Linked DNA regions of Tamandua tetradactyla. The protein of the gene in region 1 interacts with the protein of each later gene in a pairwise test. Links are inferred from orthologs where the notes say so. Each region holds a gene or a part of one and is shown in the gene's direction. Other genes may lie near its edges. The genes, in order: CBY2, cilium assembly protein DZIP1L-like, CKS1B and C11H19orf44.

The links.
Region 2: the proteins of CBY2 (region 1) and cilium assembly protein DZIP1L-like interact in binary tests that used the Homo sapiens proteins (3 or more experiments, as listed by UniProt). The two-hybrid records come from large-scale screens. The link is inferred for Tamandua tetradactyla from reciprocal best matches to the Homo sapiens genes CBY2 and DZIP1L.
Region 3: the proteins of CBY2 (region 1) and CKS1B interact in binary tests that used the Homo sapiens proteins (3 or more experiments, as listed by UniProt). The two-hybrid records come from large-scale screens. The link is inferred for Tamandua tetradactyla from reciprocal best matches to the Homo sapiens genes CBY2 and CKS1B.
Region 4: the proteins of CBY2 (region 1) and C11H19orf44 interact in binary tests that used the Homo sapiens proteins (3 or more experiments, as listed by UniProt). The two-hybrid records come from large-scale screens. The link is inferred for Tamandua tetradactyla from reciprocal best matches to the Homo sapiens genes CBY2 and C19orf44.

The regions. Positions count from the first base shown.
Region 1 is NC_135330.1:112,977,067-112,984,677, reverse strand, and holds the start of CBY2 (protein chibby homolog 2), read left to right. Parts: upstream 1-4,609; 5' UTR 4,610-4,736; coding exon 4,737-4,811; intron 4,812-5,921; exon of another isoform or gene 5,922-6,067; coding exon of another isoform or gene 6,068-6,073; intron 6,074-7,611.
Region 2 is NC_135341.1:82,033,289-82,040,470, reverse strand, and holds the start of cilium assembly protein DZIP1L-like, read left to right. Parts: upstream 1-4,162; 5' UTR 4,163-4,170; coding exon 4,171-4,671; intron 4,672-6,007; coding exon 6,008-6,092; intron 6,093-7,182. UniProt on the Homo sapiens protein: Involved in primary cilium formation. Probably acts as a transition zone protein required for localization of PKD1/PC1 and PKD2/PC2 to the ciliary membrane.
Region 3 is NC_135330.1:7,960,802-7,968,054, forward strand, and holds the start of CKS1B (cyclin-dependent kinases regulatory subunit 1), read left to right. Parts: upstream 1-4,248; 5' UTR 4,249-4,357; coding exon 4,358-4,416; intron 4,417-6,456; coding exon 6,457-6,584; intron 6,585-7,205; coding exon 7,206-7,253. Other genes in the region: SHC1 (SHC-transforming protein 1), read right to left, coding at 366-533, 2,476-3,063.
Region 4 is NC_135337.1:95,050,864-95,058,663, forward strand, and holds the start of C11H19orf44 (uncharacterized protein C19orf44 homolog), read left to right. Parts: upstream 1-4,788; 5' UTR 4,789-4,946; coding exon 4,947-4,969; intron 4,970-7,800. Other genes in the region: CALR3 (calreticulin-3), read right to left, coding at 1,809-2,012, 4,160-4,261, 4,536-4,626.

The DNA.
Region 1 (7,611 bases):
ACATGGTAAGTTTAAGAGATTGTCCTTCCTCAGGGCAGTGCAAGTCCAGTCTTAGACCCACTTTTTGGAGAACTGAACTCATTATAACTCACTGAGGACTTTTCTTACTTCTTGAAGAATACTTTAGTCAATTTATTAGGTACTATTCAGAGGTCACAAATTATTTGGTAAGCATTCCATTATCATTAAAGAGCTTCTAATGGACAATTAATTTAGGGGATTACACACTTAACTAATTTGATGACTTTTAATTTTGGTTAGAGTAAAATGTACAGAGTCGCATAAATCATGATTACAGCTGTCTTAATAAACAAAGCCTTCAATTTTGGCCCTGTCAGTCTAGAGTGGAGTGGAGTAGAGCTGTGCCTGCCTCTTCATTTGTGAGTGTCCATTTCCAGGGCTTTTGGTGTGCCCTCCCATGACCAATATTCATTTCAGAGGGAGACAGTTACCAAGACGTCCCCAGTTACCTCACTTGAATTTTTCCAAAATGAAAGAACATGTCTTAGAAGACTGAAAGTCTTCTCCATCGGAAGTCTTTTGATTGCACTTTACTCTTGGCTTAAGTGAGTAAATTAAATAATATTTAGAAAATGTCAAGACTTTGGGGAAATTTCTGTTTGTTTCTAGAGTCAAGAATGAAAGTTCTGTAATCGCACAAAGTTCTAGAGCCCCCAGGTTTGGATGTTTCTCAGTGGAGCCCATCCTGTGCATAGCCTCTTCTCTGACTTCACCAAGACTTACTCTCCTGGCTGAATCTGAACTGGGAGTACCAACTATTCCACTTGCCAGTGTCATCCACCTCCAGTGGTTATTTTGATAATTCTGTGAATGTGAGTGTTTCTTTTATAACAACTGTTCATCTCACATAGTCACCCCTTGACAGCTGTCATCCTATTTTCCTACTTCCTTCCACTCCCAGACTTTTCCAATAGGTGATCTTTATTTGTTGCCCCACAGGCTTTCCAACTCTTTCAATGGACTCCCTGGCTGCTGCCTTCTGTATCAAAAGAAGATAAGGGGTGTTGGCCTTTTCTGGGAGCAGTTTTGCCCAAGTTCTCACTCTACTTGGGCTGCTTCTCCAGCTCCAGATGACACCTAGCTTCTGTCCTACATAGCAAAAATAAATTTTCCTAATCACTTCCTGCAATTTGGAGGTTGTAAGCATCATGATATTTACAATGCCCCCTTTCCTTCCCTACTTTCACAACTGAAAAGGAAAGAAAGGTTAAAATGGAAACCCCATGCACGCCTTGGAATCCAGTTCCAAGAGCTTTTATTCCTTTATCCCTCTGGGGAAGGGCAGAGGTCCCACCCTCTTTAACAGACCCTCCTGCTGGCTGTATTTCCTTGTGTGGTTCATCTTCAGAAAGTCACAGGCTAGGGAAGTCTGGAGAGTCTCGGATGCCTGCCTGCCCTTTCCTCTTGCTGCCTAACCTGTCTGTTTAGATTAAAACCCCACAAGTCATGTCTACCTCCATGCCCTGCTTAGCGGCCAATTGTGGTTGTTCACTGAACGTGGATGATTGATGACCATGTTAATCTGAGTAATAGCAGGCATTTTTGGGCACCATCTGAAGGAAGCTTCTGAGCACTAGGTTATGGATGCTTGTGTCCTGCAGAAGAGGAAGGAACCCAGCTAATGTGCAACTGGAGATGCTGGTTGCAGGTTGGCCCAACTGAAATGCTCCTCCTGTTAAAAACTAAATACAATTGAATCAACCAAACAAACAAGATGCCACACAAGCTGCAGGGTTATGCCTTTAAAAAAATGTTTTTGTTTAATTAGAGAGGTTGTAGGTGTACATAAAAATCATGCATAGAATAACAGGGTTCCCACAGATCACCCTATTATTAACACGTTGCATTAGTACCTTTGTTACAATCATGAAAAAACATTTTTATCAATATTTTTTTTTTTTTTTTTTTTTTTTTTTTTTTTTAAAGGAAAGACAGAGAGAAGGAAGGAAGGATAGAAGGAAGGAAGGAAGGTAGAAAGGGAAACATCTTTAAACATTTTCTTGTTTTATTGTATTTTGTTTTTCCGTTTTTTGTTACATGGGCTGGGGCCGGGAATCGAACCGAGGTCCTCCGGCATAGCAGGCAAGCACTTTGCCCGCTGAGCCACCGCGGCCCGCCCTTTTATCAATATTTTTATAATTGTAATAATAACTAGTTCATCATTTACAATAGGATTCACTGACTGTATTGTACAGTCTTATGGATTTTTAAAAAATTTTTGTTCTAATAACATGTATACAAACCTAAAACTTTTCCTTGAACCGTATTCACATACATAATTCAGTGCTGCTAATTATGTTCACACTGCTGTGCTTCCATTACCACCATCCATTACCCAGACTTTACTATCAACCCAAATAAAACTCCCTGCGATTTAAGCATTGACTTTTCACACCTTTTAACAGCAACACCAATTGTATATTAGCTGACTGAAATTTTTGAGTCAAAGGGAGCAAGGCAATGAGCTATGTGAGGGCAACAAAACATTCTTTATGGAGAACATACTATGTGCCTGGAACCTTATGCTTAAATGTAACCTCCCCATTTTAAAGATGAGGAAACTGAAGCTTCTAATAGGCCATGGACCTTACCCATGTCACCCAGTAAGTAACTGTTTATTGGGCCCCAGATTTGCATGATGCCGGCATCCAGACCTTTCTACCTGGAGCCTCATTTATTCTTTTAGGTTCAGTAAGAAGAGCTCTTTCCATGTCGTTGTGTGTTGAATTGTGGCCCTCCCCTCAAAGATAGATCTTTGCAAAAGGGTCATTGCAGATGCAGTTAAGTGAAGGATCTCAAGATTATCCTGGGTTAGGGTGGGCCCTAAGTCCAATGCAAGTGTCCTTAGAGGGGCAAAAAGGGGAGAAGATGCAAGAGAAGGAGATGGGAAGACTGAGGCGGAGTTTGCTCTACGAGCCAAGGAACACCAAGGATCATTGGCAGCCACCGGAAGCATCCAGGAAGAACTCACCCTGATCTCCAGAATTGTGAGAGAGCAAATTTTTGTAGTTTAAAGCCATCTTGTTGTGGTACACCCCCATACCTGAGAAACTGCTCTGGGTAGGACAGCCCTGGGACTCTAAATCACAGCTAAGGAAACAGGGCAGTTTGTGGATACATTCCCATTCTTTCCTTTAGCAATGCCCCTTCCCAAGACAGGTTGGGGATGGCCTTTGACAAAACTGGAGAGGGAGCCAAAGTTTCATCCTGAGGGTCTTCATCACCCATAGATATGGTGGGGCAGCGCGTTTCATTGTGGGACGTGAAAGGATCTGGCACTATCCCTTCACCCAGAATCAGGCTTTAGGCAGAAAAAGGCAAAGGACCATGGCAGAGGGGAGGAAGGTGGGAGACCACAAAGAGCAGGGCCTGCCGAAAAACATGACCCCTTGACCACACAGCCCCATGAGGATCTCTGGGCACTGGTGACATCACATTGCCCTTGGGTCTGCATTCTTTTTAATAAACTTTTTATTTTGAAATAATTTCAGGCTTATAGGATAGTTGCAAAAATAATGCAAAATCCAAACAGAGAATTCCAGCGTACCCTTTACTCAGATACCCAGATCCAACAATTTTGAACATTTTGCCACATTTTTTGTATCATTCTATCTACCCCCTCCATCTTTTCATCTGTTTTCTAAATATTTGAGAGTAGATTGTATACATCATACTCCTTGAATACCAAACACATCCCTGTATCTTTCTAAGAACAAGAGAAACTAAAGAGACAAAAACAACTAAATGCACTATGTCACCTGGACTGGATCTAACATGGAGGATAAAAGGCCCAAAAGGGCATTATTGGGACATATGAAAAACTTGGAATATAGACTATAACTTTATATCAGTGCCACATTTCCTGATTTTTATAGCTCCACTTAAGGTGGATACATAGGTGAATATTCTTGTTCTGGCTTCTCTGCTTTTAATGTATATTGTGAAAATATGTATACAGCTGAAATGTGTTTTTAGGCAATCTGACAGTGAACTGCTTAAAAGAACCCAAGACAAGTTTCCTTGCAAAATGAGTAAAGTTTGACAATGCAATTGATTACCCTCTGGATTTTACCATAAGTATATTCTTTAATTTTTGCACATTGGATTTTCTTAAAAAAAACTTGCTTGTGATGGGGTGTGGGAAACTTCAGACAGCAGTTATAGTGTCTCTGGCCTTGCTGACCCTGACCCACCACTCTTTTTCCCTGAAAATTGCATAATAATGTGGAATCGGGACTCTCTGGCTAAGAAGAGATTATTCTTATGTTATAAGAATAATCAGGAGGGTTCCCACGAACAGATCCTAGAGAGGGGCAACTGATTTGACAGAACTGAGGTCAGAGGGTCTGAGCTGCCCTGTTCATGAAGCCCTAATACCAGCAGCGTGGCCGCGACTTGGTTTCTACATTTCCTTCCGTGATCCAGGCAGAGTTCACTTTGGGTTTCTTCCTTCTTAGTAACCCAACTCCGAGTAGAAGACACCCACCTCTAGAGAGAGGAAAGGGGTCTCAGCTCAGCCTGGCAGGGGATGTGAGTCACCCTGGCTGGGGTGACCAAACAGGGGGCTGGTGCTTGGGCTATTGTGTGTCACACTGACCGTGACCGGCCTGCAGACACAGCCAGGGCTGAGCTCTTCCTGCTGCTCAGATGCCTCACTGCCACCTGTGACGCTCACAGGAAACCATGAGCGCTGAAAAACACCGTATTGTTTTGTGATGTCACCTCTGGAATGTTCTGAGTGTTTTGGTGACCAACTTCTGCATAGGACCTATACCTGGCACCTCACGTTGGTATGGCTTTTATTCTTGAGATAGACATACTAATTTCAGACCAAGAAGTAGGCATAGTTCTCCCTGCTTCAAAGGTTTTTGGAACGCTTTTACATCTTAATTTCTGCTCAGAGATGGATAAAGCATCTTATCAGATATCATGCACACGTTCCTTCAGACTCAGATGTTCATAATGCAGATGACTGACAGCAGGGCAATAAATGAGCAGAAAGTCCTGTGCTTTTCAGGTTAACAACTGCTGCCCAGAGGATGGGCTGGGAAGCAGAAATCATTTTATTTTCTCTTTTCTATTAAGTCCAAATTTTACAAGACAAAGAGATCCCAGATCTGAAAGCCTAGAAATTCCAATCAGTGTGTTTCTACCTCAGGTAGAGATTATCACAGAAGGACGTAACCCGTCAGTTTTAGCCAGAATAGCTCTTCTCCTTCAAAACTCTAGCATGATGTTGTGGAACAAGCAGAGTAGTCAAGGTCTGAGGTTCTACTTCCAGGGCAGCTTCCAACCAGCTGTGTGCCTGGGAGAGGCCACTTAGCCACTCTGGACCTTGGGTTCATCTTCCTTCAAATGAGGGTGCTGGGAAGCCCATTAAGACCTTCTAGCACTAACATTTCCAGCTTCTCTTGTACTTTGAAATGACCCAACCTTCTCTAAATGAAATTTGTTGGTGTTTGCCATTGGGCCACCACTCTGATTTCTTGGGGTCAGATTTGAGACAGGTCTCAGAATCAAATCATATGAAGTCATCCATGAGAAGAAAATCTAGTACACACATCAAGGGGACCAGGTCATTTGGAGTTGTTAAGAAAATTAAGCTCTGTTACATACCCAAGACAGAGGGCTTAAGGGAGGTGGATGTGTTTTCCAGAGGGATTCAGAAGAGAGGCAGATCAGTTGGTCAAGTCCTGAAAGACCTGAGATGTCCAGGTCTCCATCTGCTAAGCAGCTGTTTCCTTGGTGGAGTCCTCTTGATTGGGCTGTTTCCACATGCTGCTATGTCACAAAGGTCAGCCTTGCATCTCCAGACTTACCTAAGACCCAGCTTGAAGACCATGTCTGTGCAGCCAGAGGGGCTGAAATGTAGGGTGGAAGAATCAAATGAAAAGGTAACTACCTGAATACTGTCAGGGAAGGTAGGAGAGGAAGATCCCACGGCCAATGGACGTCCTCACTTGTTTCTTTCTTAATGCTACCTCTTTCCTCAGAATTTTCAGAACAACACATTTAGAGAGAGAAACTTGCAGCATTGTTTCTGTAGATGGAGGTAATTGTAACAATTTACACATGTGTTCAGCAGGTGGGAAAAATGTAGAGCAAGAAAATATTCTGGATATTTCTTTTTACATGGGCCTTATCATTTTGTAATGAACATCCATTTCAGCTCATGAAGCTCAACTCTGGAATGTAACTTACTCTTGGTCACTGGCCAGGATGACTTACCAATAGTATTCCTACAAAGTGTGGGAATTTTGTTTTAGGGCTAATTCATTCCACTTGAAAGTCATGTGTAGTTCCTGCCTTGAATTCCTTTGGTTCTTTCAGTCCCAGTAAATCATTCAGCATTACTAAGGGATGGGTAGAGGGAGTGAGGGGGTGTGGGAATTGGATTTGAAAGCATTGTAGTGGTCATGTGATAATGAGATTGGGGAAAGGGCTCCAGTTTATTCTGGAGCTGCTCATCTCCTTGACTGCAGGACTTACAGAGAGGGCACAAGCCACGTTTCAGATACCTGCTGGGTGCTCTAGGCATGAGCTCTGGAGCAGGGGTGTGGGCAGCTGTATCTTCAAATCAATAGCAGCTTCTACCCCTGGGGCTGTGAGAGGGACCTGCATGCTCACTCTACCTCCCCAAAATACTTTGAGTGTTTGTTACAGAAAATGAGTTGGTGTCAGTTTTGGGCAAAAGGACTCATCTGGGAAACTAGATTGAGCACTAATCTGGTTACGTGATCACGGGGCCAGGCGGGTGGGAGGTAGATATTTTATTGGTGTGGGAACTGGAATTCCCAGGAATCCCAGGGAACCCCAGGGTTTGATCCCTCAGCCAGGTCCTGCTTCAGCCCTGAGATTCTACCCTTGCTTTTAGGAGACAGTACCTCCTCTTCTACCATTTTAACTGCTCCTACAGACTTCCACGCATACATCTGCGACTTGCTGCTCTACTCAAGAACTGAATGTGTTTGCTTTACTGGGAGGAAATGCTGCAGCAGTTCTGCTCATCCAGAAAGTGTGTCTGGCCTCCCAGCTCCTAATCATGCTGGGCGTTCAGCCTTCTCAATTACATTGCAAATGCCATTGAAGCATATTTGTTATCACCCTGAGGTCTTTTCAGGTCTTACCGATTTCCAGTTTTTCTTCCGCACGTTAAATATTTGTGTTTCCCTCCAGCACAGCAACTTGCAAGCCACTGCTGTTTTTTGCTGCCCGAGCTGGCTCACCTCTCAGTTCCTTGTGTACCTAACGATTCAGTTCTCGTGGGCATTCTCCACATTTCCCCAATGAGCCATATCTGTGAATTTCATTAGGGCTTTGTTTACTCCTAGATCATTAACGAAGGGGCTAGGCCAGATCAGAATGAGCTCCCACAGCACGCTGCAATGCCCCCTCATACCTCAGTGTCCCTTAGTTTGGGCTTGTTCTTGAGAAACTGTGGAAGCCCATTGAGAGTACTTGGAGCTCTGCCAAACTGAGTAATTGTTGCGATGAAGATTTTAGGTTCTGTGTCAAAACAGCTAGCCAAAGCTACCATGTGTGACATCTTCTTTATCCTCTTTACTGTTCGCGTTGTAGTTCTATTAACAT
Region 2 (7,182 bases), on another chromosome or scaffold:
TCTGAGTTTTTATAATTAGTCCTGTTGCACAATCTGTATCCTTTCAGCTCCAATTATCCAGTATCTTACCCTATTTCTATCTCCTAATGGTTTCTGTTACCAATGAAATTCTCCAGGTTTGTTCACTAATGTCAGTTCACATCAGTGAGACCATACAGTGTTTGTCCTTTTGTTTCTGGCTAATCTCACTCAGCATAATGTCCTTAAGGTCCATCCATGTTATTACATACTTCATAACTTTAGTTTGTCTTACAGCTGCATAATATTCCATCATATGCATATACCACAGTTTGTTTAGCCACTCTTTTGTTGATGGACATTTTGGCTGTTTCCATCTCTTCACAGTTGTAAATCATGCTGCTATAAACACTGGTGTGCAAATGTCCATTTGTGTCCTTGCCCTCATGTCTTCCTCCTGGTTCTGGTTCCCGGTTTCATTGCTTCCAGCTTCCGATGCCAGCAGTTTCTTCTGTAAGCATCAATGGGCATTCACTTAGCAAACCCAAGATGGAGGGAGGTGAGTGTGCATGTGGGCTTCAGCGCGGGCAGCTTTTAAGGATGGAGGTCTGGTGACATCTGGAAGGGGCAGTTCATTAGTTCCGGAAGTCAGGTTGGGAGGGGTGACACAGCCTCCGCAGCTCCAGCTGCAGTGCCCTTCCCCGTTCCCCCGACCTAACATTCCAGCCTTTTTGTGATAATAGGGCGCCGAGATCTTTCTGGCTACTTCCTGCTGTAATGGGGCGACGTGGGGTTATAGGCTGGAACCGTCATGGCCAGGGGAGTGGGGAGGCTGGCTGTAGGAATCTGGTGAGGAAGGCAGGTGATGATAATGATGCAGGAGGATTTGGTTGACTGCCACCCGGGATAGTTCCTTTATGTGTCCCTGAAGGAAGTTGAGGAGGCAGGGAGCCAATCTGTGGTGGATGCAGTGGTGAGCCGAAGGAACCCTTGTCGCTGGCCATGTGGAGGAAGGAGGAGAGAGAAAGCCCGGGCGCCTCTGGCCAGGCAGGCAGCACCCACGCTCCTCCCTCTAGCACAATGTTGAAGAATAGTGGTGACAGAGGGCATCCTTGTCTTGTTCCCAATCTTAGAGGGAAGGAAAGCTTTCAGTCTCTCACCACTGAGTACAATGCTAGCTTTGGGTTTTTTCATATATGCCCTTTGTCATATTGTGGCTGCCCCTTTTAAGGACATATGCCCTCCAGTTTGTCACAGTCCCCAACACTTCCTATGCCAACACTCCCTACTGCAGTGTTTCAGAATCAGTAAGTCTGAGGTGAGAACCTGCATTTCTAACAAGTTCCCAGGCGACACTGATGCTGCTGGTCTTGGGCCCACACTTTGAGAACCACGGCTTTACTTGACCTTGGACAGGAGCGGAGGAAGCAGTTGCTATTTCTCATCAAGCTCATTCTGTGACAAGCCTGTTTCACTCACTTAATGTTACTTTTCTGGCCCCTGTGGCATTTGGGTTTGCAGTTTCTGGTATAATTAGTATTGGATCCGTAGCCCTAAGAGAGAGATGGTCAGGACTGATGGGGCAGGGAGCGTGCGCTTGGGAGGCTGAGGCTCAGCCTTGGGCAGGCTGCGGTTAGCCGAGGCTGTGGGTATGTGTGGGCTCACCCCCAGGCAGAGGGCTTTAAGACCAGGCTAAGGGGTTTGGATTTGATACTGTGGCAACAAGCCATGCTGAGCTCTGGGGTGGGGGACATGGGTGAACAGCAGAATATTGGGGGACACTAGCCTATGCTGCCTTAAAGAATTGGGAAGGGATGGTAACCGAGGGAACTGGCTGGAAGGAGCAGTCAAAGGATGGGAGAGCTGAGAGAGAGTGGCTGGAGAGTGCTTTGCCTTATAACTGGGAGAGGGCTGTTGGCAAACATCTGAGGCCAGAGCTTAAAGAGTTAAGCAGTGGCGGTCCTCGGGCCAGCTCGGAGCCTGTGGGAGGACAGGAGGTGGGTGTCCTGTTACCCTTGTCCACCGCCTCCCTGATGACTCGCTGTTGCTCTGGGCACGGTGTGTTGTGAGCAATTGTCGCCGAGGCTTGGGTGACGCGGTTGCAGCTTGGAGCCGGGCATGGTGAGTATCCTGTCACCTGCCCCCTGTTTCCCTCCACCTGGCCCGTTACATTGGAGCGTGCCGGTCTTCCTTTTGTGGCCGTGGTGGGGTGCTTGTGGCTGCATATTTTTGTGGCTGCGTATTTGTGTTTTGGGGTACATGTTGGGGGCGAGTATCAGGGAGGGGAAGGATGGGAGCTGAAGCTGAAAAGCTGGGTGGGTGGGGTCCTATGGGTGGGCTTTAAGACCAGGCTAAGGGGTTTGGATTTGGTACTGTGCCAACCAAACACGCTGAGCTCTGCGGTGGGGGATGGGGTGTGCGTAATACACTTGGGGAGCCCCAGCACCCACCACTGGGCCCAGCACACATGGCCATGCAGCAAATGGGAGGGCAGTGAGTAAAAGGATGCATTGGAGATTTGAGGGATGAAATGTGATCATCTGACCAAAGCAAAAATTTAGGATAAATAGCCCTCAAAATTAATGTTGGGTGATTCAAATCCAGCTTTGGAGCCAGATGTACCTGCAATTGTACTTCAGTTGTGCCTTTCTTACCTGGGGCAAGCCACTTAAGTGCTCCGGACCTCAGTATCCTGGTTTGTAAACTGGCATGATAATACCTGCCTGTAGGTTTGTATTTGGCATTAGGGCCCAGCACAGAGGCTGGCACCCCTGCATATTGGCCGGTATTATTAGTGAGGGATTTCCCCCTCACTTCTGCCACCCTCCCAGGGGCCTGGGGGCGGGCAGGGCAGGCTGAACGCCACCTTTCACAGGTGTAGACAGCAAGACGGCTGGGGCCAGGCGTGCTGCTGAGGGCCTGCCTCTCTTTGCAAACCTGATGGTTCCCTGAGTCCTTTTTCTCTTTCATGAGGTCAATGATCTTTCTCTTCTCTAACTTTCCATTGTACAGAAAAGTCTGAATCACATAATCTAGAAAGAACTTGATTAGACAGGGTGTTGTGTACCTCTTGTTGCCCCAGTCAGATTCTAAGTTCTTCAGTGGCAGAAATTGTATATATTTTTTTCTTTTAAAAAAGATGAAAGTAACAGATGATGATGAGAAGTGACTTTAATAGTACTGAGAAGTGGAAAGTGCAAAGTAAAGGTCTTCTGACCTCTATTTCTATTTTCCAGCAGTAATTATAGTGAACAGCTTGTGGTCTCTTTCCAGAAATAGTCTGGAAATAAAATAAAATAAAAATAATATAATGAATAATAAATAAATATATTTTATACAAGTTTGATTACATATTATATATGAATGATAAATATAAATAACATATGCGTACATGTATTTCTTTTAGTTAAGGATTAGATATTGTTTTTATTTTAAAAACATTTTTCTTTTTGGAGTAGCTATACGTTTACCCCAGAAAAGTATGCAGAAAATACAGAGCACCTGTCATGTATTTCTTTTATGATGTGGAATACAGATGTGCTGTACAGAGGGCTGAGTTAGTCCTGTTCGTTATAGCATTGTGTCGTTGGCCTGTGAAAGGCCTATCATGTCCGTCTGTCTTTTTTGTCTGTGCATCTGTCTATCCATCCACCCATCTCCCACCCCCACATCATCCATCTGCTAATTTATTTATTCCCATTTCACACTCCCATTTCTCTTCTCCCTTGTATAAAACCATTCGAATGTGCATGTTTATATATGTATGCATTCTTTATTTTGTGAGTTATTGTTAAATGTGATCATATAAATAGATCATTAAAAATAGGAAAAAATATATATATACACATACACACACCTTGTTCTATATCTTCTCTTTTTCATGCAACGTATTTCAGAGATAATTCCATGTCACTGTGTGTAATGCTGCCTTATTCTTTTCCATAGTGGCACACAGTACTTCATACTTTATTCACGCAGTCCCGCCCCGTTCTTCTCCGCAGATTCGGCCACACTGGCACGTGCAGACACTCTACAGCTGCTTGCAGACACCTGGCTCGCCCCACCGGGGCGCTGGCTGGGCAGGAGTGCAGCGCCGGCAGCCCCTGCAGCCACCCGTCCTGGCCTCACTGGGACTCACTTCTCTTCCCCAGGCCTTGCCGCCGCTCGCGTTCCTGCTGCCGTGGCCTCGGGGACAGCCGTCTTACCCCGCCCATGCAGCCCGCCGCCGTCGCTGCCCAGGGCCTCGGCGGGCCCCCCTTCGGGGCCTACACCCCGCCCGCCTTCAAGTTCCAGCCGCGCCGCGAGAGTGTGGACTGGCGGCGCATTAGTGCCCTGGACGTGGAGCGCGTGGCGCGGGAGCTGGACGTGGCCACCCTGCAGGAGAACATCGCCGGCGTCACCTTCTGCAGCCTGGACCGGGAGGCATGCAGCCGCTGCGGGCAGCCCGTGGACCCCGCGCTGCTCAAGGTGCTGCGCCTGGCGCAGCTGACCATCGAGTACCTGCTGCACTGCCAGGACTGCCTGAGCGCCGGCGTGGCCCAGCTGGAGGCGCGGCTGCAGGCCAGTCTGGGCCAGCAGGAGCGTGGCCAGCAGGAGCTGGGCCGCCGGGCCGATGAGCTCAAGGGTGTGCGCGAGGAGAGCCGCCGGCGCCGCAAGATGATCAGCGCCCTGCAGCAGCTGCTCCTGCAGACCGGCGCCCACGGCTGCCACCCGGTGCGGAGCCTCCGCGGGACCCCGCAGGGGCGGGCGGCGTGTCCCAGCCAGGCGGTCACCCCCCACTTACGCTCCCCCCCACCTCCCCTGCCGCACCAGCCCCGAGGCCTCTGTGAGGCTTCTCCTTGTTCAGAGTGCAGCCCTCAGCTGGTTTGGGCCTTCAAGAAATGTATAGTTTGGGGGTAGGTGGGACAGAAGGAATCATTATGATAGAATGTTAATTGATAGAATGATAATTGATATAACTGCTGTAAGATAGAGTTAATTACCTTACAAAGGGTTAGAACCCTTTCAGCACTCTAACCTGGTTTAGGCCCATAGGAAATTTATTGGTTGATTTTAACTGAAAAGGTTTGGTGGGTGTCAGGTGTGGCTTGCCCCAGGAATCAGATATGGCTGCAGAATCGAGTTTCTTGCTCTGCAGCTCTTGGCTCTTCTTCCTCTGTGTAATTTAGTTACATGGCTTACATGGTTGCAAGAGAGACTGGGACGTAAAGTCTTTATTTTCAGTGACATCATGACTTGCTAAAAATCAAGGTTTCTGTTACAAAGGAAGGGGAAAATGCATTTGGGGACGCCAACTGGCAGAGTCTGTTCCATTGCCTTTGTGCAAAGATAGCAAATAGACTTCACTTTACTCTGCCCTCTTACTCTGATTGATTGGCTGTGGCAACCTGCAAAGTTTTCCTCTGAAGTTTTACAATGGAAAGATAATATGCAGTGACTGACATGCATTTAGGAAACGGAAGTGGAATTACAGATGTTATTTATTTGCTGTCTCTGCCTCTGGTGTTTTTTCACCCTGGGATGGGGCTTGGGCATATTTTAAAACTTTCTACTATGGAAAATTTTAAACACAGTGATAGAGAGAAAGTCACAATGAACCTTTATCTGCACACCACCCAGCCACTCACCAACTCTTGGCTGATATTTTGTTTGTTCCTCTATCCACTCTCTCCCACCCCTGGATTATTTTGAGGCATATTTGTCATATGATTTCATCTATAGATATTTCAGTATGTATCTCTGAAAAAGCAAGAACTTCCACTTTTAAGCATAATACCATCAACCGCACCAAAAGCCAACAAAACTCTAACCTCATCCACAAAACTTTGTCACCATCATCAAATATCCAGCCGGTGGTCTTGGTTCCCCAGGGCATGGGTAGTTTTAAAGCTCCAGGTGAGTCTGGTGTGCAGCTCGGATGGGGGACTCGCTGGGCTCAGTCGGTCAGCTCCATTTCCCAAGTGGCTCAGGGGGCCTGAGGGGTGGGGAGGACTCCGGGCCGACTGGGCCAGGCTAATCCTGTGGCCCCCCCTGTTTCCTCTCTGTGCAGTGCCACCTGTGTGACAAGACGTTCATGAACGCCACCTTCCTGCGGGGCCACATCCAGCGTAGGCACGCGGGCTCGGCCGACGGCGGTGAGCGCTGGTGGCACCCTGGGGCGGGGGCGGGCCCGGAGCTGGTCTCCCGTGGGTGGAGGCACCTGCAGCCCGGGGTCTGAGCCTCCTCGGCCTGTTGAGGACGTGATGTGCGCGTGTGGGGCTGGGGAGCGTGTCTGGCCGCGGGCAGGGAAGGTGGATGGCGAGGTGGTGTCGTCTCGGTTTTGTCCCTGTCTATTGTGGGACCTTGGCCGTGGCTTCCCCCTTGGGGTCTCAGGGGCCTCTGCTGAGAATAGGGGCAGCCGGACCCCTGCTCAGAGGTCCCTTTCCTCCCAGCCCCCTGCGCACCTGGCGTTGTCTGAGACTACTGGCAAGGAGCGTAAATGAGCCACTGACCAGCTTTTTGATTTTTCTATTTACTCGAGTATATTATCATGACTTCATCATTTTAATATTACCATTTCAAGTTTTGGCATGCTTTTTGCCAAAAGAGGTATGCGAAAAAGATCTGTGGACCTTTTTTTTGAGGTTCAACAAGAAATATCTGTTAAAATAGCTAAATATAAAAATCCCCATTTTTCTTATTCCCCATCTTTTAACTCCCCTTTCAAAGAACAGGTTTAATATTTTCAAATAGTAGCATTTATTTAATTATGATGCATTTATTATGTATCTAATACTTTTTGGAGCTTCATTCGAGGCTGCTAAGGAAAAACATTTCCCATTTGTTAAATAATTTTTTTCTGATAAACATATGTCTTTGATATAGGAAATTTAAATACAGAAGTATAGAAAAGAGAAAATAAAAAATCATGCATGATATTACCAGTGGTTAATATTTTGGTGTATTCTCTGTCAGTTTTTTCTTTATATCTGTATAAACATTTAGTATGCAATTTTGACTATTGCTTATTTTCATTTAAGGATGTATCACATTTTCCATCGTCACTGAATCATTTTTGCAAATAGGATTTTTAATGGCTGTATGGTGTTCCCTCATGTGGCTATCATAATTTATTTCATAGTTTCCTCCTGTTAAATATATGTCTACTTTATTTGTCTACTTTAAATCACATGATGTTGAGCATTCTTGTGTGTAAATCTGTGTGTATACCCCTGATTATTTCTT
Region 3 (7,253 bases), about 110 Mb from region 1:
CAGGCAAGGGATGGGGTGGAGACAAAGGAGTGACATCTTCTGGAAGAGGGAGGAGACTGGAGGGGAGAATCGAGGCTCCTTCCCACACCTACTAAGGGCCCCCCATGTGCTGGGCATTGTGCTAAGCATGGCAGGGTAGGGGTTGGGGAGTCAAGAGAAAGGGCCCTAGGGAGACCTGGAAGGAAGCAGCTACAGAAACGGAGAAGGGGCAAGAAAGGTGTAAGAAAGGAAAGCAGACACAGGAACAGAGCCCTCAAGGAAGGGGTTATTGGGGAATGGCAGGAAAAGAGATTCCAGCGAAGCAGGAATAAGCAGAGAAACTGGAATGGGTCTGGGAGGGAGGAGAAGGGAGGATGTTCACTCACCCGAACCAAGTAGGAAACCCCAGGTCCCATGACTTTGTCGTTGGGATGCAGCCAGCCCCGCGTGGGCTTATTGACAAAGCTCCCGTGGCGGGTCCACTCCTCGCCCCCCAGCTGGCCCCCTTCCACCCGAGTCCTGCGCCCGCCGCCTCCACTCAGCTTGTTCATGTCCTGGAGGAGGGGCAGGGGGCCTGAGTCTGGAATGGCTGCCCCTACGATCCCCTCCCCATCCTCAGCTGCCCTTTCTGGCTCCCCCCTCGGTCCCAGGCGCCCCCCAGCCGGGTTGGCCAGCTTCAGGTTGCTCATCCGGGGAAAGAAGGAGCACAGGGTGGTGGGACTATCGTCCACAGGCAAAGGTGGCAGGATGGGTCCCAAGGACGAGGCTGAAGGGGAAGGCAGCTCCTCCGGGGGCGAGGACCCTGAAGCCCCCTCCTCCAGCGATGACAGAGACTCATTCCGAAGTGGGTTGTACTTGGGCTTAGGGGGCAAGAGATCCATGGCTGGGGTGCGAAGGGGGCTGCTGCCCAGCCCGGCCCCCCTGCCAGTCAGGGCAAGGGGGCCAGGCAAGGGGCATCCCAGGCCCTTAGCCTGGTGAGACCGCTATGGTCTAAGAGTCCCAGGAGTCCTGGAGGGAGAGGGATAGGCGGCTTTTGCTCCCCCAGCTCAGACCCAGACAGTTTCAGGGCCCATCCCCGCCCAACGTGGAGCCTCTCTTCTGGCGAGAAGAGAACAGGCTGGACCCAGAGCTGCCTGGCTCCTCCCCAGGGGCGGGAGCAAAGAGGAGAGACCAATCGCGAGGACAGTGCTGACTCACAGGCTCAGAGGGGCTGAGCCCCCACCGCAGCCCCGACTTAGAACCCTTGCAGGAGTAGAGATATCTAAGCCCCTTCTCCCGACCCCACCAGAGAGGAGTAAAGTGCGGGTTGTGGGCTAAAGGGAAAGATGGAGAAGTGGGAAGGAAAGGAGGGAAATGAGAGCATGTCTGGATCAGTCCAAACAGGACATGGGCAGGCCAGGGGGTGCAGGAAGCCAGGATGGGAGGGTGGGGGGTAGCAATGAGAGAGGAAACAGAGGCAGCTGAGGGTGGGATCCCTGAGCTCAGCACTTCCCTTCTAGTCCTGGTTGAATGCTCACATTCCCCCATCCTCCAACCCCGGCCACCTCCCCACCACTACCACACACAGTCAAGGTGGCCCCAGGGAGCCTGAGCCATTAGCTTTCTCTGCCACAACAGCTGGGGACTGGAGCTAGAAAAATGGGGAAGGGAAAGAAGTGGTCCCAGTGGATGCACAGAGGGGCCAAGAGGAAAGGCAAAACTGGTGAAGTGAAGGGGATAAAGCTGGAGGTGACAGCTGGAACAAGAGGACAGGCTAGTCGAGCCTTGTTTCCTATGCATGGCACCTACATGCCAGGCACAGTCCTGCCCCTCTTCCCACAGGCTAGTCAGCAAAGAATGCTGTCAAGGCTAAGAACTGAGAGCCAGAGCACTAACTTGAAAGTCAACTCCCTGGATCCATCAGGTGTACTCCTGTACCCCTCCTCCCCCCCACCCCCAGCAGTAACTGGGGAAGGGGCAGGGGTTCATCATAGAGCACAGTGTCCTCCACACCAGGGGACGGATGGGAGAGTGGATCAGTTTTCCAAGTGAAATGGGAGCTATGGGCCACTAAAGGACAGAAAAAGTAGAAGACAGATTTGTCTTAAAATCTACAGAAAAAAAAGGAGGCCAGAAGAAGACAGGCTGAGGCTGGACACAAGGAAGTCTCAAACCCATTCCTTCCACCCACAGCTTCTCACCACAACTGTGCTTAAGGGAGCAACAGAGTAACTTAGGAAGCCACCAAAAAACAAGAAGTAAAAGACACATACCCCCAGCTCACCTTGGAATTACCCTAACCTGAAATTTACTTCAGAGGGTAAAAAAATGATCAACAATATTAGCACTTAAAACATGTGAGACACTGTGCTAAACTCTTTCACCTCCCATTAGCCCTCATCCCAGGAGAGTTTGTCACCCCAGCCACCACTCCAGAGAAAGAATTCTATCACTCCGTCTCCTAAGACCTCAGCTCTCAGGTCTAGAGAAAATGAAGAAGGGATTCCTCAGACTCACACATTCAACACACAGTAGGATATCCTCATCTTTCAAGACAGCCATTCTGTGGCTGCCAGAGGTCGGGAGCAACCAACAGGTGTGGGCATTTGGAAGAAAAGAAAGAGGAACTTTGGCTCTAAATTTGCATAGAAAGAAAGAAAAATGCCTACTGGGAGCCCAGGTGGTTGGGTGTGGGGACGTTGTGTCTGGCTTCTCAGCCCAGCAGGGAGGAGGCAAGCTGGGAGGAAAGTAGCAGGAAATGGTGAAAGCCTCAGGAATGTTTCCAGCCGGGAAGGCTAGGCAAGCGGGACCAGGAGGAATGCCCAGACAAGAACTCCGGCTAGGGGGAGGGGAAGAGCCAGAGAAGTGGTGGGAACCGAGGAGTCCCTTAAAATAATCAACCACCACCAGGTAAACTGCTCTCAGCCCCCACTCCAAACCCGCATTCTCAGGTGACAGAAAACCCTCACTCCCGTCACACCCACACGCTGCACACCACTGAATCCACAGCCCTCCCCAGCTCGCGAAGTGCAGGTTATGACATTCAGCTCTTCCTGGGGTGGAGTCGGTCCTGGAAAGAGAAACTAAAGGAGTGGGGCTTGGCATCTACAAGCAAATCTCTGTCCTACTCTCGTACCAGACCCCAAGTCCCTCTTCAAGTCGGTCCACCACTGGAAGGGGGTGAGGGGCTGCCTCTCTTACTCCTCGGACGAAAGATGGGAACTTGTCTTCCCACTCAGTGGGGCATGAGAGAGCTCAGGAAAGCTGAGTCCAAAGCTCAGAAGACAGAAAGGGAGGGGAAATGTAAGTATTAATGTACAGCGTCTGGAATCAAAGACAAAGCCTCTGAGGTGGTGACCTGGGTCCTACAGGAATAAAGTTCCTGTGGGGGCGTGGCCCCTAAAATGCGTGCAGCAGATACTACCGAGAGCCAAGGTTTCTACACCATCAAACGCAGATTAAGGGAGAGGTGTGGCTTCTGGAGGGGTGGAGCCCCTAGAGAGGCGTGGCTTCAATTAATTCGAATAGTTCCTGGAGGGGCAGGGCTCGGCCCTTCTGGGAGATAGGTCTTTTGACAGACAGAGTTAGCGGAGAATCGTCCAGAGGAGGCGGAAGTTCAGACAGTTGAAAGGACAAACGAAGGGTTTCTAGTAGTAGGGATTGGAAGCATGTCTGGGGGTGGGACTTCCAATAAAGCTGGCGACAGGGTGGGGTCAGGAACAATAGATGGAAAACAAATCGGGGTTCGGGGAGCCCCCCCTGAAGTTGAGAGGTGGGACTTCCGGGAAGGGGGTCTTAGGGGGCGGGACTTGAAAGGGGAGACCGGAAGTGGGGTCCCGGGAGAGGGGTTCCGGGGTGGAGGTGTGGGTCACCTAAGAAGAAAAGAAGTCAAGACTCACCAGGGCCTCATGGAGTCTCCGCACCGCACCGCGGGCCGATGTGGTTCCGGATTACGCCACACTGCCTCTCTAGGTCGCCGCTCCAACTTTCTCCCCGGGCCAGGCCTCCCTGGAGAAACTTTATTGCACCTACTTCCGGCCTCACTAACCCCTGACCCTCTACCTCACTGTCTCTCCTTCGCCCCGCCCACTTTCGTAAATCAGCCAATAGCAGTGCGAGAGCGAGCACAAGCGCAGCGATAGCCAATAGGAGGCCTATTTTTGTCCCACGCTCGTTCTAGAGAAACGTAGGATACTGCGCTCCAATAAAGACTCGAGGAGAAGAAATCTAAGCCAATCAGAGGCTTGAAGGTGGAGCTGTCCCGCCTTGAGCCAAACAAGCCAATAGGAAGTGCGGGCGGTGTGTTTGAAAGCGAGGCCAAGGAGGGTGGGAGCGCGTGCTGCTGGGAGTTGTTTGGAGCTTGGCTGCGCCGGGCTGGGGGCCCTCAGTCAGAGCCATCATGTCGCACAAACAAATTTACTATTCGGACAAATACGACGACGAGGAGTTCGAGTACCGGTTAGTGCCGGCGCGGGGGCCGTAACGTGGTCGTGAGCCTTGACAAGTGAGAACACGAGGCGTTAGTAATGAGAACTGAGGCGACAGATTCGGCGCATGCGCTGGGGTTTAACGGGAGTGCTGTGAGAGCGTGGAGGGCGTGAAGCGCATGCGCAACGCGTCGGGCGCGCTCGGGAACAGATAAATTGGTTGCGAATTTGGACTCTTGAGAGGAGGCGTGGCTTAGAGTGTGTGTTTCGGTCCCTGACCTCCCAACCCCCCATCACCTTTGCAGGTTTCTGGAGTATTCTCTCAACTTTGTTGGGCAAACCGTCTAGGACCAGAATGCCTGCGGGGAGAAGTTGGCAAAAGCGGAATTGGAGGTTTTCTAGTGTCCTCAATGTGAGGAGAGGCCTGAGAGGGTCCAAATCTGGCTTATTTTGGAAGGGGGCTGCGAGGTGGAACAAATTGGCTAAGAGAAAAGGTTTAAGATGAGTCTAATAAAAACTTTAGATATTTGAAGGGCATCTGTTCAGGAAACAATTACGAGTACTTACAGGTTTCAGGTGTCCTGCTAAGATGCAAGGTTAATATAAGACGTTGTCTCTGCATTCAATGAACTTAAAATCTGTGGAAGATACACTTATATGATATGATAGAGATGTGTACAGGGTGTGGTGGGATTTATAAAACCAGCCAAGGAAATTGGTAGGTCTGGGAACGCTTCCTCGAGAAAACTGCCTGAGATGGACTCAAGGAAAAGATTAGGAAGGAGAAAGTGCCTCAGAATCAAGTTGCTGGTTAGTCGTCTACCACGGTTGGCAAAGAAGGAATCCCTGGATTGTATGCACAGTTAAGATTTGATAAATCCATAATTCTAGATTGGAAAATGAGGAAAGACAGAGGATTCTACAATTGTTAACATTCTACTAATCTGTATTAATTGTAATAATTAAGACAACTTTCTGTTTGCATATTGTCTCAATTGGAGAGTATAAAATGGAAACTTGCTTTTTGTCTTGTCTCTTCACCTGGCCTAATGCCTGGCTCTGAGTATACTTTGGAAAATTCTGTGTGTGTTGACAAATAACCATTTTCATGCTAGGTCCTTGGTAAAACAACCCCAAGCCCTTCTCGGATGCAATTAACTTTCTTTTCCTCAGCTAAACACCTCTACATCTGAACTAAACTAACTGAAACTAGATACTTATAACATCTTTGCAGGGAGAAGTCACTAGTTTCATCCTTTGGGAGATGTAACTCTTAGCTTGGCAAAGGTAATTTGGTTTAAGAGGTTTTTGTTAAATTATGTACTGAAGCCAAACTTTGTGGCAGAAGCTTGTTAGAATGTAAGCTATTTTCAGACATCTACACTAGAATTATCTCTGGGAAAAAACCTCTTACTAGCACAGAGGGAGCATTTAGTACATTTTCACTGAACATAATGAAGTCTACCCAGGTTAGCCTGGTTCAAGCTCAGAGTAATAATTTTTCTGTCATGAAAAGAGATTTTTCCCTGGCTAGGGAAGCATGGAGTTTCCCAAAAGAAGTCTCATGGCATATCCTTATTTCAGAATAAGGAAAATGATTTGGAATAGACTTTAAAAGATAAGATATTTCCATTTCACTCTTTGTGGTGGCTTTTCTACACAGCAATACATAATGGGCCTTTCTGCTCCACAAAATTGCTCTCCCTTTACCAAACCTGTTCAAAACCCAACTTAATTATTAATGTTTGTTGTGGGGCTTTCATTATGTTATGGGTAATCAATGAGAAGACTGTAAGCATGATGAAGGCAGGGACAATGTATCAGTACGTGAGACTTAAGTGCTCATCCATTTAAATTATTTATAAGGTACTTTTGTGAGGATTTACCTAACTTAGGCTGGATTCATAGCTGGCCCTAGCCCTCTATATACAATAAGGAATGTATAAACTCCTGACTTCAGAAACTGGTTTCTCTTTTCTCTCCTCTCTTGGCTTTGTTTGCAGGCACTTGTTTTAACAGACTGTTCACAGTGCTGACACAAATTCCCTGCCTTCCCTTGTTTCTCTTACAGGCATGTCATGTTGCCCAAGGACATAGCCAAGCTGGTCCCTAAAACCCATTTGATGTCTGAATCGGAATGGAGGAATCTTGGTGTTCAGCAAAGTCAGGGATGGGTCCATTATATGATCCATGAACCAGGTCAGTGGAACAGCTAAAAGCATCTGTATAGGGCTGGTACACTGAGAGAACGAAGGAATAGTAAGTGTGCTGCCCAAAGAAATGGGGGAAGGAGAGCATGATTTACTGGCTCTTTCCCCTCCATCACCTATCTAGAAAAACTAGAGTGACCAAAAATAAAAATAAGAGTAAAATATCCATGAAGTTCAGAGACAACCTGTCACTGAAGAAATCTCCTTTTAATTTTTAATTCATTCAACAGAGAATACTCTTTAAGGCCAGCTATACCCTGGTAGAGGTTATGGCCCTGTTTCATTCTCCACTAGAAAGCCGATTTTTGGATGTGTTCCAAATAAGCCAAGAAAAATATATTTGTTGATAAGACACCAGACACCCAGCTGCCAGGCAAAACTAATAAGGGACATCCCAGGGCTGTACAAACACAGCAAAAGGATTATTAACCATTCTGTACTTGGCAGAATTGCCTCTGGGTCTGCTTCTAGAGCCATATGCTTAAATCTTAATTTAGTTAAAGATCTAAGTGGGTGAAAGCTGGGAGGTGGCCATGGGACAGCATGAGATAAACTAAGTTGTGCACAGAATGGTATAAACTTGTCTCTTAAGATTTCACCCCTCTTTCAGAACCTCACATTTTACTGTTCCGGAGGCCACTACCCAAGAAGCCAAAGA
Region 4 (7,800 bases), on another chromosome or scaffold:
CATCAATGCTATTATCTCTTCTTCTGATTCTAAATAACATCATGACCCACAGGCTAGAGAAACATGAGTCAGCCTAACCAGGCATCCAAAGCCAGAGGCTGACTATGATAAATTCACAGAGAATGTGTGAGGGAGAAATGTCCTGAAGCTACCCACATCAGGAGGTGAGAGAAAAGAATTTTAAAGGACCATTCCCCAATTTGGGATGATGAAAGGACACTTAAAAATACACTTGCTCCTGAAGAGCTTCTTTGGGGAAGAAGAACCTACACTCTTTGGTCACACCTGTTTCACATGGCCCACTGAGGTATGATTTCAGTGAGATATTAATCAATTACCCTAGATACGGGGAGAGACTATTTAATTTCCCAAGGGTAGACCAACTTTTTCTGTAAAGAGCCAGGTAAGTATTTTCAGCTCTGTGGACTAGATGGTCACTGTGGTGACATCAGCCAACCTGGCTCCCAAGCAGCCACGATGACATGTCAAGAAGTAAGCTTGGCAGTGCAGACAACCAAAGCTATAGGCTGAGCCCCCAAATCTTGGGGGTTGTTCATATGAAACTTAACCCCACAAAGAACAGGCTAAGCCTACTTAAAATTAGGCGTAAGAGTCACCCCCAAGAGAACCTCTTTTGTTGCTCAGATGTGGCCTCTCTCTCTCTCAGCCAACACAAGCAATCTCACCACCCTCCCCCGTCTACGTGGTGATATGACTCCCAGGGGTGTGGACCTTCCTGGCAATGTGGGACAGAAATCCTAGAATGAACTGAGACTCAGCACCAAGGGATTGAGAAAACCTTCTCCACCAAAAGGGGAAAGAGTGAAATGAGACAAAATAAAGTGTCAATGGCTGAGAGATTTCAAACAGAGTCAAGAGGTTATCCTGGAGGTTATTCTTATGCATTATATAGTTATCATCTTGTTAGTCATGTTGTAGTGGAGAGGCTGGAGAGAACTGTCTGAAAATGTAGAGCTGTGTTCCAGTAGCCATGTTTCTTGAAGATAATTGTATAATGATAGAGCTTTCACAATGTGACTGTGTGATTGTGAAAACCTTGTGTCTTATCTACTTTGTCAACAGATGAATAAAACATATGGAATAAAGATGAATAATAGGGGGAATAAATGTTAAAATAAACTTAAATTGAAATGCTAGTGATCAATGAAAGGGAGAGGTATGGTATGTAAGAACTTTTTTCTGTTGTCTTTTTCTTTCTTTCTCTGAATTAATGCAAATGTTCTAAGAAATGATCATGATGATGAATATGGAACTATGTGATGATATTGTGAATTACTGATTAGTATGCAGAACAGAATGATCATATGTTAAGAATGTGTTTCTTGTCATATTTTTTTAATTAAAAATCTATTAATTAATTTTTTTTTTAAAAAGTGACCTTGGCCAAAGACACTGAAATGCCAATTTCATCTCATTTTTACGTGGCACAAAATGTTAGCCTACTTTGGACTTTTCCAAGGCCATTTAAAAATGTAAAAAGCAGCTTTGGAACACGAGCTGTACGACAAACAGTTTACAGTGAGCAGCAGTCACCCTCCCGATAAATTCAATGCATTTGGGATTGTGCCAAAACTGGATAAACAACTTTTTCACAGCACAAGAGAATGGCACAGTTGCCTTCTCATGAAATTAACTAGATTTAATGGTGTTAAAAACCTCAGGTCAGACAGACTGAACCCACCCAACAGACCTCACACCACGTCAGCAAACCGTGGTCTAATGAGGGCCTGGGTGGAAGGGCACCCACCGACAGCGGCCGGGGCTGTGCTGCCCACATGACCACTCACCAAACATGATGTAGTATGGGGACTTCCCGTTCAGGTTCTTCTGGTCCAGGTCTGCAGGGAAGACCTTGAGGTAGCCGCCACCGCAGTCCATCTTCTGCTCGTGCTTCACCGTGTACTGAATGACCAGCGTCTTCCCTTTGTTGCTAAATGGCTTGAAGCGGGCAGAGATGGCGTAGAATCGGCCATTCTGGGTGGTTTGCAGACCTTGAAGCAGAAAGTACTAATGATAGATAGGGAGTGGCATTGTGCCCAGAGAGGCAGGGAAGGTACACGGATGTGGTGCCCCAGACCCCAGAGAGAAACAGTTAGTCCAGTGCGACAGGGAACTCAGACACCACCACCAGCCAGCCCTCTGCTCTCAAGGAACTTCTACTTCACGCCAGGGATGTTTTTCCCCTTCACAGAGCACTGCAGTGTTTTAAGTGACAAACACACTCCAATTCTAAATGACAAGTACACATCTAACTATGGGCCTGAGGTTAATTCGGCCCCTTTCTTCTTCCTGACCATGAGAACATACACCGGAGGCTTGTGTGGTAGCTGGGTGAAAAACAGAACGTTCTATTCCTTTCCTCCAGTTCTCAATCTTCAAACAGCTACTTAAGAAACAGGGGAGCCAATGAGAACATGAAACCCGGGGTGGCTGGTGGGTACTCAAATGCCCACCGCCCTAGGGTAGACCCCTGCAAGCTCTCATCTGTTTTGTTGCACAAATAACCAAGTATGTGCTTTCTAAATTTAGGCATTCACTTCAAAACAAAAACTTCCTTTCTCAGTAGCCACTAGGAACTGTTTCAAATCCCTCTCTTAGACCGGAGCTTGTCAGAATGTGGAGCCATTCTTCCTTCCGTCCACCCCTCCTTGCTCCATGCCCTGCCTTACCCCTATACCTGCCTATGCTGAGAAATCAGAAATGAACTCGGGGTTTTGTCTCGTTATGTCAAAACCTCAGGACTGTGTTCCCCGCACCGGCACCCCTCTTCCCTCTGTTTCTAAGGGAGTCCATAGCCCCAGCCTCTCCCATACTCGCACCACCCAGGCAATTCCCAAGCCAGCTGATTTGCAGCCTTCTCCTGTTGTGCAGCCACCCTCCTCTTGCTCTCTCCACCTCCCATCCCTGTCTGGATAAATTTCACTCATCTTGGGATTCACGGCTTCAATGTCACGGTCCCAGGAGATGACGAGGGAAGGGACCAAATTAACTGGGTATCCCAAGTGCTTTGCCTGTGTCTGACAGCAACAGCCATATGCCGAACAAATGAACACAATGCACAGAATCTCAAAGGCTTCATGTTAGAAAAGGGGGGGGGGGGTGTGAAAAACAGACACAGAAACAACTCAGAGGAGATTACATGGAAACCTCTCTCCCTTGACAAGTTCCATCAAATAACCTGTCAGTTTTCATCCCACCTTTATTTACTACATGGCCTCAACTTTTACCAGCTATTCAGGTCAATGCATACCTTACAAAACAATGCCTATACCACCCAAAGCTAGAGGCTGCCAGAACAGGGCAGCGTTGCAATAACAGGGTGAGACAGTGGTTGAACAGAAGGTGGAGAAGAGGGAAAACTTTTCATCTACAGCACAGGTTGGCAAACTTTCTCTGTAAAGGGTCAGCCAGTAGCCCCTTAGACTCTGTGGGTCAATTCCTGGACTCTGCCTCTATAGTGAGAAAATCAGCCCCAGACATGTAAGCACACGATGTGGCTGTGTTCAGAAAGACTTTACGGGTGCTAAAATTTCATGCATTTCTTTGACCTTCACATGATTTCTGCATGTCACAAAATACCACCCTCCTTTTGATCTTTTCTTCCCCCCGACAATTAAAAAAACATGTGAAAACCACTCTCGGCTCACTGGCTGTACAAAAACAGGTGACAGGCAAGCTGGTTATTGCCGACCTTGGGTGAAAACCACCAGAAATGAGTTTATCCTTGCTGCAGGTGAAAGGGGCCAACTGCGAGAGGGACACAAGGGATGCCTCTCCCGTGGCCACACAGGGGCGAACACCCATCAACTCGAACCCCGAAGAGTTGTGCACTTGACATCACACACGTGGGGCAGCGATTTCTTTCTTTTTTAACGCGGAAAACAAAAAGCGGCAGGGAAGTCCCTCTGTGGGGCCAGACGGGTCCCCATCATCCTAGCTGATGAGTGGTCACGAAACACTAGGATGCTCTTGGGAAAGGAAAGAAGAAACAAAAAAACTGGCAACGAGGACCCTTCCTCCCCGGGCCTCGGTCTTCCTCCCTGTAAAGGGGGTGCAGGCAGGGGTCGGGGCGCCCCCACACCTCGCTCGGAAAGGCTGCCACGGGGGCTTTGGCATTCAGCATGGTTTCTACACTAACCTTTGTCTTTCTCTTTATGACCATAAAACTTTCCCGACGAGAGCCTAAAATGCCCAAATTGGGAATCGTTGGTCGACTGGACCCACCGGTTCCTCCAACGCTCTGCGAGGCGGGAAGGGGGGAAACGACACCGGTCAGGGCCGAGGGGGGCCCCCTCTGGGTAAGGGGGAGGGGGGGAGGAGGAGGGGAGGGGAGGTGGCGGGAGGGGGAAGGGAGGGGGAGGGGGAGGGGCCCTCGAGGCTTCGAAGCTTCGAGACTTCGCGCCCAGGACCCCGCGAAGTCCAGCCCGGGGCCAACGGCGACTCGGCCGCCCGCTGGACAGCTGGTGGCGGGGGAGGGGTCCGCACGCCTCCCCGAGGGGCGTCGCCCCTTTCACCTCCGTCTAGAAACTCCTCCTGGAAGTAGACGGTGGCCAGGACCACGCGCAACACGCACACGGCCCAGAGCGAGACGCGAGTCGCGGCCATAGCCGCTGGGCGGCGCCTCCTCTCGCAACCGCCCCCTCGCTCCCTGCGGCCTCCGCGCCGGGCAGCGGAACTACAACTCCCGACACACCCCGCGATTGTGACCTGTCGCGCCATTGGAACCCCCCCCCGCCCCGCTGTGCACGCCGGACCCGCCCCGGAACTACCAATCCCGTCATCCCCAGCAATTATGACCCGTTGTGCTATTGGCTCCCGGCGCGTGGTGCAGGCCGGGAGATGTAGTCTCTTCCTCCCCGGCGCTGTTGCCTGGGGCAACGGTGTCCTCAGGCCTCTGCGCCCCGCCAAGCGTGTCAGCGACCACCATGGATGGACAGCGAGGACAGAGGTCTGCGGGCCCGGCGGAAGAGCTTTGCTCTCGGGCTTGGGAGAGGGGTGGCGGGGGGAGGGGTGCGCGCTCGGGGGCGGGGCGCGCGGCGGCCGGGCATTTCCCCGTCTAGGGCCCCCCTCCCCCACAGGGAGTGTGGGCTCGTCGCGCCAAAAGCCGGGATGCTCTCAGGGGCGCCAGGGTTTTCAGAGGTCGGTTTATTTCATTTTGAGCAGCTCTGTTGAGAGAATTCCCATACTGTAAAATTCACCTGCTTGAAGTATGCAATTCGGTTGTTTTTTTGGAATCTCGAGAGTTGTGGCGCCACCGCCACAATCCAGCTTGGGAACTTTTTAACATCGCCCCGGAGAGCTCGCCTCTCCCCTGTGCAGCCCCCACTCCCACCCCCGCCCCTGCACACCGCAGATCTGCTTTCTCTCTGTGGACCCTCCTGTTCTGGGCGTTGCGTGTTCGCGGAACTGGGCGGTGTGTGATGTTTTGAATCTGGCTCTTTCACTCGGCGTGATGTGTTTGCGGCTCATTCACGAGGTGGCGTGTCAGTGTCCATGTTTATTCCGGAGTGATACTCCATCGCCAATGGACCACGGCCTGCCGTCCTTTCCTCAGCTGACAGACACGTTTGGGTGGTTTCCCTGCTCCCTTTAGGAACATTGGCATGCAGGTACTGGGTGGCTGGAAGCTTTCATGTCTCTCCTGCAGAACTGCCGGGTCCTGTGGTATCCCCATGTTTAACTTTTTGAGGAACTGCTAGACTTCCAAAGCGGGGACTCCCCGGTTTACCTTCCCCTCCCCCCGCAGCCGCATGGGAGGTCCAGTTTTCCCACGTCCGGGTCAGCAGGGACTGTCCTCTGTCTTTTCGATTCTAGCCATCTGGGCAGCTGTGCAGTAATATCTCCTTGCAGTTTTTATTAGCTTTCCCTGAGAGCTAGTGAAGTTGACCATCTTTCCATGTGCCCACTGGCCGTTCACGTTATCGTTCTGCTCAGATCTTTTGCTCTGGCTTTATGTTGAAGGCTGGGGGGACTTTATGGAGAACTAGAAGCCCGAAAACCTGGCCTAGATTCTCAGCCTCAGCTACAGGTGTTAATAAAGGTGGATATTGGCACTCTTTCGAGCTGTGTATGTCCAAATCCTGTGCCGGGGCTTGTCTGTCACCACACCCTGCAGCTAAAAGCAACCCCATCTTGCAGGTGCCCTAAGCGTGGCCTAACTTTAAGTGATCATTCCATGGCCCACGCAGAACCTGCTTTAATTCCTTTGCTCCTTATAAAAACCCTGCAGGGGTGATGTGATAGCCACTCCCCCCCCCCCTTTTTTTTGGTTTTTTAATTTGTGCTTATTTTTTTTGTGAAGAATAACATACATACAAAAAAGCACTAAATTTCAAAGCACACAATTATAGAACAGATTTCAGAGTTTGGTATGGGTTACAGTTCCACAATTTCAGGTTTTTCCTTCCAGCTGCTCCAAGACACCAGAGACTGAAAGAAACATCAATATAATGATTCATGAGTCATACTCATTTGTTAAATCCTATCTTCTCTTTTATAACTCCACATTCTCCTTTGATCCTTTTTAATTATTCATTTTTTATTGATATATATTATATACTCATAATCATCCAAAGTGTATAATCAGTGGTTCACAATATCACCATATACTTGAGCATTTATCATCACCGTTGACTTTTTTTGTGTGTGTGAAAAATAGCATATACAAAAAATAAATTTCAAAGCACATTGCAACAATGAGTTGTAGACCAGATTTCAGGGTTTGGATTGTAGACCAGATTTCAGGGTTTGGTATCGGTTACAATTCCACGATTTTAAGCTCTTGTACTTCTAGCTGCTCTAAGATACTGGAGACTAAAAGAAATACGAGCGTAATGATTCACAGTCATACTCATTTGTTAAACCTGACCTCTGTATAACTCCACCTTCACCTTTGATCTTTCCACTCTTCCCTTTTTACGGATGAGGAAAACGGAGACACACAGCAGGTCAGTAACTTCCCGGTATCACTCCGGACTAGGAATTTGCAGATGTTTCTTTAAGGTGTGGTTTTCCATCTACTGAGCACTGCTGCGGGCCAGGCCTGGGCTGGCCTCTCTCGATGCTTAGATGGTTTAAGATGCAAATGAGCAAGCAAACTAGCTCACCCGTCAGAGCAATGGACAGTAAGATAAAAACTTAATAACCATGGTAACCATAATTCATTCTTATACCAAATCTTCAGCTTTAGATTAAAAACTTTTCTTTGCCGAAGTCATTTTTGAGTTCAGCTTCGAAAGGAGTGTTAATGTGAAAACCTTGTGTCTGATGCTCCTTTTATCTACCTCGTCAACAGAAGAGTAGAACATATGGAATAAAAATAAATAATAGGGGGAACAAATGTTAAAATAAATTTAGTTTGAAATGCTAGTGGTAAATGAAAGCAAGGGATAAGGGGTATGGTATGTATAATCTTTTTTTCTCTGTTATCGTTTTATTTCTTTTTCTGTTGTCTTTTTATTTCTTTTTCTAAATCGATGCAAATGTTCTAAGAAATGATGAATATGCAAGTATGTGATGATATTAAGAATTACTGATTATATATGTAGAATGGAATATCTTAATGTTTTGTTTGTTAAATTCTTTTAATTAATAAAAAAAAAAGAAAGGAGTGTTAAATACAGGATTTGCCAGGTTTAGTAAATAATAGTACAGTATACCCTGTTGAATTTGCATTCCCTGCTTAAATAAATTTTTAGTATAAAAATATTTGGAACACACTTATTTTTCAATATAAAAGCTTGTGGGACCCACTCAGACTAAAATGTTCGTGGTTTTTCT